Linked DNA regions of Arabidopsis thaliana. The protein of the gene in region 1 interacts with the protein of each later gene in a pairwise test. Each region holds a gene or a part of one and is shown on either strand. Other genes may lie near its edges.

Evidence for each region. The genes of interacting proteins can lie anywhere in the genome.
Region 2: the proteins of FTSZ2-2 (region 1) and RPL12-A interact in a protein complementation assay, tested with the Arabidopsis thaliana proteins (one study listed by BioGRID).

The regions. Positions count from the first base shown.
Region 1 is NC_003074.8:19,548,501-19,555,772, reverse strand, and holds FTSZ2-2 (Tubulin/FtsZ family protein), read left to right. Parts: upstream 1-2,671; 5' UTR 2,672-2,881; intron 2,882-2,900; exon of another isoform or gene 2,901-3,207; intron 3,208-3,289; 5' UTR 3,290-3,337; coding exon 3,338-3,958; intron 3,959-4,325; coding exon 4,326-4,625; intron 4,626-4,715; coding exon 4,716-4,806; coding exon of another isoform or gene 4,807-4,847; exon of another isoform or gene 4,848-5,142; intron 5,143-5,183; coding exon 5,184-5,308; intron 5,309-5,456; coding exon 5,457-5,549; intron 5,550-5,634; coding exon 5,635-5,700; intron 5,701-5,806; coding exon 5,807-5,932; 3' UTR 5,933-6,112; downstream 6,113-7,272. Other genes in the region: AT3G52760 (Integral membrane Yip1 family protein), read left to right, coding at 1,068-1,841. UniProt on the Arabidopsis thaliana protein: Exhibits GTPase activity. Component of the plastid division machinery that forms a contractile ring at the division site.
Region 2 is NC_003074.8:10,315,938-10,321,102, forward strand, and holds RPL12-A (ribosomal protein L12-A), read left to right. Parts: upstream 1-2,567; 5' UTR 2,568-2,638; coding exon 2,639-3,214; 3' UTR 3,215-3,215; exon of another isoform or gene 3,216-3,495; intron 3,496-3,543; coding exon of another isoform or gene 3,544-3,713; 3' UTR 3,714-3,983; downstream 3,984-5,165. Other genes in the region: MDAR4 (monodehydroascorbate reductase 4), read left to right, coding at 1-51, 142-260, 572-791, 877-995, 1,189-1,944; AT3G27831 (Gamma-thionin family protein), read right to left, coding at 3,544-3,713, 4,092-4,155.

The DNA of each region.
Region 1 (7,272 bases):
GATTTATGATTACTCCAAATCTCTTTGGAAGACCATGCAAGGCATCATCATCTGACGTCAGAATTAATTATGGACCTCTGGTTTTCAATTTTCACAATCATTATATTTCCTCACTTCTTATTTATGAGACCTAGATCTTGATATCGGTCAATATGTTATAGGTTTGAGTTACGATGTTACAATATCTTTGACTCTCAACTTATGCAAATTATATTCTGCAGTTGCTCTTCATATAATCTTATCTCTTGGAAGTAATATTACAACTCTGCAATATAAAATCAAGAACATCTGTGAGTTTTCGTAGAAATCAAGATAACACCAAAAGAATAATAATAACAGAATAAGTTATTCTGAATAACATAATACTTTCAAGATTATAGGAGAAAATGTTGATTGAACTGTGTGTGTTTTTCTTTCTTTATACTATTGAGCAAACGAATGTTTCAGTTATTGCAAATTAAGAAAGCTAAGATTGATAGAAAAAGAAGTATCATGAACATCAGAAAGGCAACTTTGAATAAATCTACGTATTGATCATTGCTCTTACAATTTATACAAATTCTAAATGACTTACGTATTGATCATTGCTCTTACAATTTATACAAATTCTAAATGACTTTCAAAAAATGGTAAGGACACTACTATAGGTTTAAAAAATAAAAAATCGCCGTTGCCGGGGATCGAACCCGGGTCACCCGCGTGACAGGCGGGAATACTTACCACTATACTACAACGACTTTGTTGTTCAGTGAGCCTAATAACTTATAAAATTACGATAATTAGTCAGTAGTGAAAACTATTCACAACTCACAAGTGGGGCTATTGACTTGTTTGTGTAGCAAAGGCTGTTCAAAACTACAAACTAATGGGCTGATAAAGCCTTATACGGCCCAAAACATTATTAATTCACTTACCGAAAATGCCCTTATCACATATCACGAAGATACGAACACGAAGAATGCGTAGTAGTCGCCTGTTACTGGAATTATTTTCAATTTCTGAAATCAAATCCGATTGAGAGAAAACACTAACTTCAAATTCGAGATCTGAATTAGGGATTCTAGAGGATGACGAAGGATTTTCCAATTCCACCGGTTGTTTTCCCCACCAGTGGATCATCTCCGGCCACCGCAAATGTTCAGCAACGCCGAGTTCCCACAGCTCCTTACCAACCACCACGTCAATCCTCCGCTTCATCTTCAATCCCTTTCATTCCATTTGAAATCGGATCCGCCGCCGTTTCAATGCCGGCGGGACCATTCGACGGAACAATCGCTTCATCTGCATCTTTCGGTAGAGGAGTCTCTGCTTCGTTTGAGGATGAGGAGCCTTTACTCGACGAACTCGGTATCCATCCAGATCAAATCTGGAAGAAAACTAGATCGATTCTCAATCCTTTTCGAATCAATCAGACTGTTCACAAAGATTCAGATCTCTCTGGTCCGATCTTCTTATACCTTGCGCTTTGCTTATTTCAATTGCTCGCTGGGAAGATACAGTTTGGTGTTATACTTGGTTGGGTTGTTGTTTCTTCTATCTTCTTGTACATTGTCTTCAATATGCTTGCTGGTAGAAATGGGAATCTTAATCTTCATACTTGTACGAGTTTAGTTGGTTACTCTCTGCTTCCCGTTGTGATTTTGTCCGCGGTGTCCTTGTTTGTGCCACAAGGTGCTGGTCCCGTTCGGTTTGTGCTCGGTGCGGCTTTCGTGTTGTGGGCTACTAGAGCTTGTTCTAATCTGGTGGTGTCTCTTGCTGATGGAGGAGAAGAGCACCGTGGATTGATTTCGTACGCCTGTTTCTTAATCTATACTCTGTTTTCGCTTCTCGTTATCTTTTGATTCCTTGCTTTCGAATATTGATAGATTGTTGAACTTTCCGGTGCCATTACTGAGTAGCTTAATGTGATATCTTATAAGTGTTTGTGGTGAAATAGCTGAGACATTGTAAAGGTTTTTGATAACTTTAGAGGAAGTTGTTATTGATGTGGTTTAAGTAATTGAAGATGATGTTCTAAGATCTCTTACTATTGGAAATCTCGAAACGTTTATGCCATATACATCCTTTTGTGGTTCTGTTTGACAGTTTCTTGACATGAACTGTTCTTTGAATTAGATTTGGTGAGAGTATCAATTGCTCATTTTTAGCGTACATGTGTTGCAGTTGTAGTGTAGATTTTCCGAACGTAGAAGCGAGTCACTAAGATGTTTTGATTAAAGATCTTAGGTTGCTTCAACTACCAATGATAAATAAGTGACTGGGGAGAAGTGTGAATGGTTTAGCTTGAAATTGTTCTATAAGCGAGAAAGTAGTTGATCAGAAGATACACATGACGAGCTTTGGCCTGGCAATGGCATTGCATAAGATAGCGAAACTATCATACTTCGATTGTCTCAATCACAATTGATGCGTTCGAAACAAATCTAAACGCAAACAAACAATCTGAATTATAGAATTGTGGCTTGTTTACGTTCATCATCATTCATGGTTCCATGGACTTCACTGTTCTACATGAGCAAGCAAAAGACTCATAAAATTGTGCAAATTTTTCGTATGCTTATTATCCGGCTAAAGCCCAGAATTCGTTGTATGGGCTTTAAGACCAACATTATAGGCCCATTTATATTAAACATTTAATTTTCTTCATCACTCTCGTCGGCTAACGCTTTGTCTCTTTCACCAACTTATTTAACAGATGAATTTAGTAGCTGTAGTTGTTACTGAAACAGATAAAAATTAGGAGCAAAATCAAAATCATAATCCACTTTTATGTGATCGAGAAAGAGATTCTAAGCCCAGAAAACACCAAAACCTTCCATTTTCATTGGTTCCCATTTTTTTTTCTTTGTAGCTCGAATTCTCTGCTGCCACTACTCGTAAGGTACTCTTCGTCTTTTACATGTTAATGTACTTCTGCTACAATCTCTAAAACTGCTCCCTCTGGAAATTCTGTACTCAATCGTCGAAATGTCTTAGCTTTTTGTATTCGTCTACTGTTTTACAAATTTCTGGAATTCCCCATCTTCAATTTCGTTACTTTAGAACAGTACGATGTGCCAATTGTAGTTTTCTGATTCAAATTGATACTCCTCGGAAATTTATTAATTAAAGCATTGACTTTTCTTTGTAGTATCTTAGCTTCTAGTGTTGAACTTGATCCATATGCTGCTGATATGCAACTGGTTTCCAATTATAGTACTGTAGAATGTGAGTGCCACTTTTTTTTTTTTTTAATCTTCTTCTTGGTTCAGGACTTGACGTTGACCTCTTGTTCTTTCTCTTGAAGCAGTGAAATTGGAGTTTTTAATAGATCTTTGGTTGCTTCTGTAGTCTCAGAATGGCAGCTTATGTTTCTCCCTGTTTAACTCCTCCGGATTCTCGGGTACTCACTGTTCTTAGAAAGAGTGTGTTACCTGATCATCATCTAGGCACGAGGGTTGGTTGCTTAAGAATGAGTGAAGGTACTACTAAAAGATATCGTGTTGTTGCTTCTCATAAGTACGAGTCTTCGTCAATCAGAAACTCTTTGAATTCTCATAGTACAAGCCATTTCCAAAGCCAAGACTCTTTCTTGAATCTCCACCCTGAGATATCCATGCTCAACCCAAGAAAAGAAACTTCCAGTGTTCCCATTACTGAGGATTTGGATGAGTTATCTACTCCAAACACTTACAATGAGGCTAGGATTAAAGTTATCGGCGTTGGAGGTGGTGGTTCAAACGCTGTGAATCGTATGATTGAGAGTGAGATGATTGGTGTGGAGTTTTGGATTGTGAATACCGATATCCAAGCAATGAGAATATCTCCGGTTTTTCCAGACAATAGGTTACAAATTGGTAAGGAGTTGACTAGGGGTTTAGGTGCTGGAGGTAATCCAGAGATTGGGATGAATGCTGCTACAGAAAGCAAAGAAGCTATTCAAGAAGCACTTTATGGTTCAGATATGGTCTTTGTCACAGTATGTCTATAACTATTACTTTCACTTTTTCTTAGTAACAAACTTTTATTTATACTTATTTCTATATAAAGATATAGATTACAAATGAGAAGTTTTACGGGTCAGAATCGCCGTTTGCAATATCATGTTGGTTTTATTGAATTTTGGTGGGTTGCAGTTTCTCTTTGTGTTTACCAGTTTCTCTTTTATCTCCATCTGGTTAAAGCAGTGAGGTTTATGTCTTCGATCATAGAATACTTTCCTGTTTAAAGTACAACCAGTTATGGGTTATTGTGTGAATTTGCTGCCTCCATAGATTGACTGTAAGATTAGATCTTTAAGTTCAGTGCCTAAGCTTTTCTAGCCAAATGTCTTGTTATTTTTCTAGGCTGGAATGGGTGGTGGAACTGGCACAGGTGGTGCTCCTATAATTGCAGGGGTTGCAAAAGCGATGGGTATATTAACGGTTGGTATTGTGACAACGCCTTTCTCATTTGAGGGACGGAGAAGAGCACTCCAGGCTCAGGAAGGGATTGCAGCCCTCAGAGATAATGTTGACACCCTCATTGTTATTCCAAACGACAAGTTACTAGCAGCAGTCTCTCAGTCTACTCCAGTTACAGAAGCATTTAATCTGGCAGATGATATACTTCGTCAAGGTGTCCGTGGAATATCTGATATTATTACGGTATGGCTTTGAAAGTATTTATTCTCTAAGCTATGACATCCATGTTTATAGAAAATGTCTGACTGCAATATCGTTGTGTTTGCATTGCAGATTCCTGGATTGGTCAATGTGGATTTTGCTGATGTGAGGGCGATAATGGCAAATGCAGGTTCTTCATTGATGGGAATAGGAACTGCAACAGGTAAGAGTAGAGTGTTCTTTGGAATTGAACTATTTTATTGATAGGCTCTATCTGCTGCATCATTACGTATGTCGAAGGGGAATATTGGTTTAGAAGGCAGGTTAAAGAACCCTGTGACCAATATAGGCGACGCTTTATGCATATGTTTGTTAGCTAAAATGCTAAGTTTTCAATTTACTGAGAATTGGTACTACAGATGTAGCTGAGTAGATTAATTTGACTATAGATTTAGTACTCTTTAACCATGACAAAGGAATAATGTTTGGTCCACTGCAAGTTGGTATATTGAGGAAAATCCTAAACTTGAACTATTTTGGTGCTATGTTTTGGCTGCATCATCATGCTTAATCTTTCAAGCTATACTGTTATTTGAGCAGGAAAGACCCGAGCAAGAGATGCTGCATTAAACGCAATCCAATCCCCTTTATTAGATATTGGCATTGAGAGAGCCACTGGAATAGTTTGGAACATAACCGGTGGAAGTGACTTAACACTGTTCGAGGTTTTTTTTCCCTCTCTACGCTTTCAGACCATTTCCTGTCCTAGAAATCACTTGGTTTCTTCCCTAGACAATTCATAAAAGAACTTCAGTCCCATGTCATATATAACGTTGTGTGTCTCTATTTTGACTCTCGGGAAACGATTTGTAGGTAAATGCTGCTGCAGAAGTGATTTACGACCTCGTTGATCCAACAGCGAATCTTATATTTGGTGCTGTGGTAGATCCATCTTATAGTGGTCAAGTAAGTATTCTTCTTTCTTGGATTTTCTTCTAACATATAACCTATGAGATACCCAAATTGCTTAAACTTTTTTTCTTCCTGTCAGATAAGTATTACCCTGATAGCAACTGGCTTCAAACGCCAAGAAGAAGGAGAAGGGAGGCCACTTCAGGTATTCACTTGTCTCCCTTGACACACACACACAACATAGCCGATTCTTACATCAAATGTTAAAAGTCTTCGGTTGTAATCTCTCTTATTGCTACATGAAAATACAGGCGACACAAGCGGATGCATCAATGGGAGCCACAAGACGTCCTTCATCATCATTCACTGAAGGCAGCTCCATAGAGATCCCAGAGTTCTTAAAGAAGAAAGGGCGCTCTCGCTATCCTCGCCTCTAGACCCACTTTGATCACTCTACATGATATTGTTGAATGTAAGGAGAAAGAATGTTTGGTGCGGCTATGTAAATTGCCTCTATGGTGATATTCTATAATAGGTTGTTAGAAATTATTTTACTATATTACAAAAATAATGTTACTTGACAGATGATAAATCTTAGTCTCTGTCACTCTGTTTCCAGATTTTGCCTTTGGATAAATGGATAGAAAAACAACATCTAAGACAAATATATCCTATGATGAGACATTGTAAATGGTTTTGGTTATTTAAATCAAACATACGGGTGCACAAATTATTATTTTTACCACAAATTACACATAAATTTCGAAAGAAAGAAAGAAAAAAGGTATAATTAAACGATATTATTGCACATCGTGCAAATAAATTAGTCTCGATGATATTGTTACTAAAAAAACATTAAGGACTTGTGTTGAAAATTCAAAGCTGCTAGCAATCTCGAGGAGGAGGTGGTCTTGGAATGGGTTTGCAAGGCTTTTTATAGTTATGTCCCGGCGTATCTTCACCTCCTCCCTTTGGAGAATCTCCACATGGTGGGGAGGGTCTTACGCATATCTCAGGTTTACCTTTGTAGTTGCACACACATTAAAAAAAAAATTTAGAAGATTAACTTGTTGGTTGTAAATGGATGTAACATGTAAGAAAATACGAACTAATCAGTTTGTAAACTACACCATTTTATATTTGGGACGATTAAGCGTCAAGTGCAACGATTCAAAACGTTACTTAAAAATAAGAAGAGACTGACCTTGGTGGACACGAACATGAAAAGAGAGACATAGAAATATATGAAGCAAACATAGGAGAAGAAAAGCTTGTCTTGTTGTTTTCTTCATTTTCATTGTTCTTCTCCCTCTCATGTCGACCAGTTGTGTATATATAAAACTGAAGCAGACGAAATCAAACTTTTAGTGAATAAATAAATCTGAAGTCAAAACTTTGACGACTTCTTGATTGCTGTGAAAACGCGGTTTTGTACATCAGCTATGTAACATTTTCTCAATAAACAATTACAATTTTTATGAACATATGAATGCAAGACTTTTGGAGGTTCTCATGTATTATTTTAGGTTAAACCGTTCACCGTTTGTTGTGTAGGGTAGATCGTTAATTTGTAGGAATATAAAATTTGTGTCAATTATATATTTGGGTACATAATATCTCCTGGTTCTCAACATTTCGAAACTACAAAAATAAAAAATGAAACTAAAATTTCTGTTTTTGGTGGCTGAAGGGGATCGATCGACCCGGAGCAGGTCCAATAATAGACCGGACCCAAGTCATGTTTAAAAAAACATGATCTCGACAATTTCTTAAATCT
Region 2 (5,165 bases), 9.2 Mb from region 1:
GTGTTGGAGCTAATGATGAGAAGCTTACACCGAAATGGTACAAGGATCATGGTAATTACATTTGCACTTTCGATTTGGAGAAACTACTGTTTTACTTGGTGGTATGTCTACGGGATTCTTTTCTGATAATACTTTTGTCAGGAATTGAATTGGTACTTGGAACTCGTGTTAAGTCCGTTGATGTGAGGAGGAAGACTCTTTTATCGAGCACAGGGGAGACTATAAGTTACAAATTCTTGATCATTGCAACAGGTGCCCGGGTATGGCTTGCACAATAATATTTATGTTTTCGTTTATCCAAAGTAAGAGTGTGTTCCGGTGACTATTAGCATAAACGATAAATCACTGGTTTTTAACAACGTATTATCCTCTTTATGATTTTGTAATTAATTGGCTGAAGACAATGGGTTTTTGTAATAGTTGAATGTCTAGTAGATGTTGTGAACATTGTTGTAGGCAAATCTGCTCACTCCTGAAAATTGCCAAAGGAATTTGTGCTATTTTAAAACATAGAACATTAAACTGCTAAAGTTGTGGCCTTATTCTTGTCACATTTGGCTCGTGCAACTAGGCGTTGAAGCTTGAAGAATTTGGGGTGGAAGGCTCAGATGCTGAAAATGTTTGTTACTTACGAGATCTAGCTGATGCAAATAGGCTTGCCACTGTGATTCAATCAAGCTCCAACGGGAATGCGGTTGTTATCGGCGGTGGCTATATCGGTATGGAGTGTGCTGCATCTTTAGTGATCAACAAAATCAATGTGACGATGGTTTTCCCAGAGGCTCACTGCAGTAAGTTCTCTCGATTATTACTAAACTTACGTGTACGAGAGAAAGGTTGTGTATTTAGCTTGACCTTTTTAGTTTCTTATGACAGTGGCACGTCTCTTTACGCCCAAGATTGCAAGTTTGTATGAAGACTACTACAGGGCTAAAGGCGTAAAATTTATAAAAGGAACGGTTTTGACATCATTTGAGTTTGACTCGAACAAAAAGGTAAGATCGTTTCTTTTAGCTTGAGATTCAACTCGAAAAATGTCTGGTACGTTGCATCTATGTATACAACTAAGGATGGCAAGAATCAGTAGAACCACAGATACTTCTGGTCCAGTACTCAAACTATGAAATCTTGAGCCTTGTTCAATGTATTTGTTTATTGATATGAGGTTTTTTGGTTTTCGATTTACAGGTTACTGCAGTTAATCTCAAAGACGGGAGCCACTTACCAGCCGACTTGGTTGTGGTTGGTATCGGGATACGACCAAACACAAGCTTGTTTGAAGGACAGTTAACAATAGAGAAAGGAGGGATAAAAGTGAACAGCAGAATGCAGTCAAGTGACAGCTCAGTGTATGCAATAGGCGATGTAGCTACATTTCCAGTGAAACTATTTGGCGAAATGAGGAGGCTTGAGCACGTGGACTCAGCTAGGAAATCTGCGCGACACGCAGTTTCAGCCATCATGGATCCAATAAAGACCGGAGACTTTGATTACTTACCATTTTTCTACTCAAGGGTCTTCGCATTCTCATGGCAATTCTATGGAGACCCTACAGGTGATGTTGTGCACTTTGGAGAGTATGAAGACGGGAAATCATTTGGAGCGTATTGGGTTAAAAAGGGTCACCTTGTTGGATCTTTTCTTGAAGGAGGCACTAAAGAAGAATATGAAACTATCTCAAAGGCGACACAATTGAAACCAGCTGTGACTATTGATTTGGAAGAATTGGAAAGAGAAGGACTCGGGTTTGCTCACACGGTTGTGAGTCAGCAGAAAGTTCCTGAAGTTAAGGATATTCCGAGCGCTGAGATGGTGAAGCAATCTGCAAGTGTGGTCATGATAAAGAAGCCTTTGTATGTATGGCACGCAGCTACTGGAGTCGTTGTGGCTGCATCTGTGGCTGCGTTCGCGTTTTGGTATGGGAGGAGACGCCGTAGATGGTGAGGAAAAAAAAAACTCTTCAAGTGTTGGATTCATTGGAAATGGAACTTGCTGTTGTTTGTAGCATTGGTGGGAGAAATATAGAAGGGAGAGTCCAAACTACTCAATGTGATTACATTGGTATACGATTATTATATGCTTCTTTTAAAATGCATAAACGTTTCCACTACAAACTTTGATTCAACGTCTTTGAAGCCCTTTGTTACTTGTTAGTGTTCATAATCTTGTGATTATTGGTAGAGTTAATTCGGCAATACGGCAATACCCATAAAATTAGAAAAATAGCAATGAGGAGCTAGCTAACAAATAATTTTGCACACTTATTTAATTGTTATGACAGAAATCATAATTAATAAACAAACTAAATGTGATTAGAACAACAAGGGCGTTTGGTCTAGTGGTATGATTCTCGCTTTGGGTGCGAGAGGTCCCGAGTTCGATTCTCGGAACGCCCCTTTTTATTTTTTTAACTCCTCAACGTCAGGCCTCACGGGTATTTTCGTAAACATACAAACGATACAACCTCATCTATTTGTATATGCGCATGATAGCAAACGTACGCAATATTCTATTCCCCAAAATACCCCTTATCCATCATTTTTCTATCCTCTCATCTTTCATCTTCCTCACACACAATCCAATCAAAACACACAGAGAGAAGAAAAACTCAGAAGAAAAGCCAAAGAGTGAAACAAAAATGGCGTCGACGACTCTCTCAATCGCAACAACAATCCGTTCCTCATCTTATCCTACTCTCGCTTCCATCAATCACTTCCCTTCCCGAACCACCACCATCGAATTCCCCTCTCGCTTCGGTGGTGGTTCATCATCCACATTGACCCACCGTGCAACCCATCTCCGTCCAATCGCCGCCGTCGAAGCTCCGGAGAAAATCGAGAAGATCGGATCCGAAATCTCATCCCTAACCCTCGAAGAAGCTCGTATCCTCGTCGACTATCTCCAAGACAAATTCGGTGTCTCCCCACTCTCTTTAGCCCCCGCAGCAGCGGCGGTTGCTGCTCCAGCCGACGGTGGCGCGGCGGCTGTAGTGGAGGAGCAAACAGAGTTCGATGTGGTTATCAATGAAGTTCCGAGTAGTTCTCGTATTGCAGTAATTAAAGCTGTTAGGGCTTTGACTAGCTTGGCGTTGAAGGAAGCTAAGGAGCTAATCGAAGGATTACCAAAGAAGTTTAAAGAAGGTATCACTAAAGATGAAGCTGAAGAAGCTAAGAAGACTCTTGAAGAAGCTGGTGCTAAAGTCTCCATTGCTTAAGGTTTTTATAAAAAAAAAAAAAGAAGTTGTTATCTTTTCTGGAATTTGATTGGTCTTTTGTGTTGTTTAGTATAGTTTGCGTCTGGAATTGTTGAGAAATTGTTGTAATTTGAATCACATTTGGTTTCCCATTAGCTGATTTCGCCATTGATGTGAGCTTTTTGGTAGCTGCACATAACATGTTTGTTGAAATGCCTAAATGAGGCAAATCACTCGTAGTTGCTTAACATGAAACAGAGTTAAAAATAATAAGCACAAATGTCACTGCTACATTTTTTTACTTAGTATTGTAACACTCATGAAATATTTAGGATATATTATAAACGAGATCATGTATGAATACAAAAACACAGCATATTAACACCAAGTTTGAGGCATTGTCCACCTAAGAAACCTTGTTCTTTGCAGTGCTTATTGCAGTCCGGAAATTTTGAGCATAGACCTTCCACAAGGTACCACCCTCCTTGAGCTTTGGCCATAGATTTTGCGTGTACTTCACCTATCGTTTTCCAAAGATTGTTGTAATATTAGAAAAAAAGTCGTTACTCGTTTAGACATAAAGGCAAAAGAAAAAGAAAATTCACTCGACAAGAATCTCTTGCAGCTGGTAACAACGCAATATCACTATGTATTTTATTTTATTTTTTGTGATAACAAGTTAATATCACAATGTATTGTGAATCACAATGTATTGTGAAAATAATAGTGTATACAATATGTATGGAGATATGATCTAATGTCTGATATAAAATAAGTATTCGGTTTGCTAGTTAGTGTTGAGTGTTAACTCATGAATCTTGCTACTTTGGTTATACTTCAGTATATATGAATAAATTGAATTAAACAGAAAAAAAATATAAACGTTTTTTTGGCATACTTGGGGCGAGAAGAACAATCATGCATAAGAACACAAGGAAGGCGCATTTGCTTGATGAAGCCATTTTTGGTTTTTGTATTGTTTATTTTTCTAATATTTGCTAATGGAACACAATATTACTCAAAACCCTTATTAATATATATATATATATATCTGTATATATAGAGAGAGAAATATGATGAGTTTTTTACTTTGTAAATAAAATTGGATTCTTTTCTTATTTAATCTAGGATATTTTATTACATTTAAGTTATGGTTTTATTTTATATATATGAAATTTTTAATAATCATGATATGGGATGGGGTGGATTTAATTAGTGATGATTATAGGATTTAGATTCAATTTTTTCTATTAGTTTATTTTCATTATGATAACTTTAGGTATCCTACTATATTATTTAGGAAGTACATTTTAAATGTAACCTTAACTTTTGTAATTAATTACATGACAATGCCATTAGAAAAGTTTAATAAAAAAAATCCTTTAATGACGTCATTAAGGTTACCAAAATCATTTAACGACAATATTAATCTCTTAATTATAGGGTTTATTGGATCTACAGACGGGTTAGCAAAATATACTGAATATTCAAATATCTATCTGTTAGCAAATTATAAACAAATAAGTTCGTAAAAGAATTTCATATTTTATATACGAAATCAACTAAATCTTAATCACATAAAAATTAGCACAAAAAAAAAGTATTCAACCATTAAAAAATTATCAAATCTCTGTGTTATATAAGTTTTGATAGTATATTCGAATAAAGTGTAATATACCTTTTCAATTTGTATTCTTTAACTAATTTAAGCTAACTAATATATTTTCTAATCTTATACCTATCAAAACCGACTATCGTTTCTTATCTCTATAGTATTTTTGCAAGACTTTTTTGGTAGATTTGGGTAAAAGTGCATTCGGGTCATATGGTACATTCTCTATTAAATAAATATGGTGCACTCATATGTTATTAGCTAAAATGTTTAGATTATAATTCAGAGTCATATCATAAATAAAATTAATATTAATCAAATAAATGGCTTTTTGGCAAGACGGATTTGGAGGGACGGGTT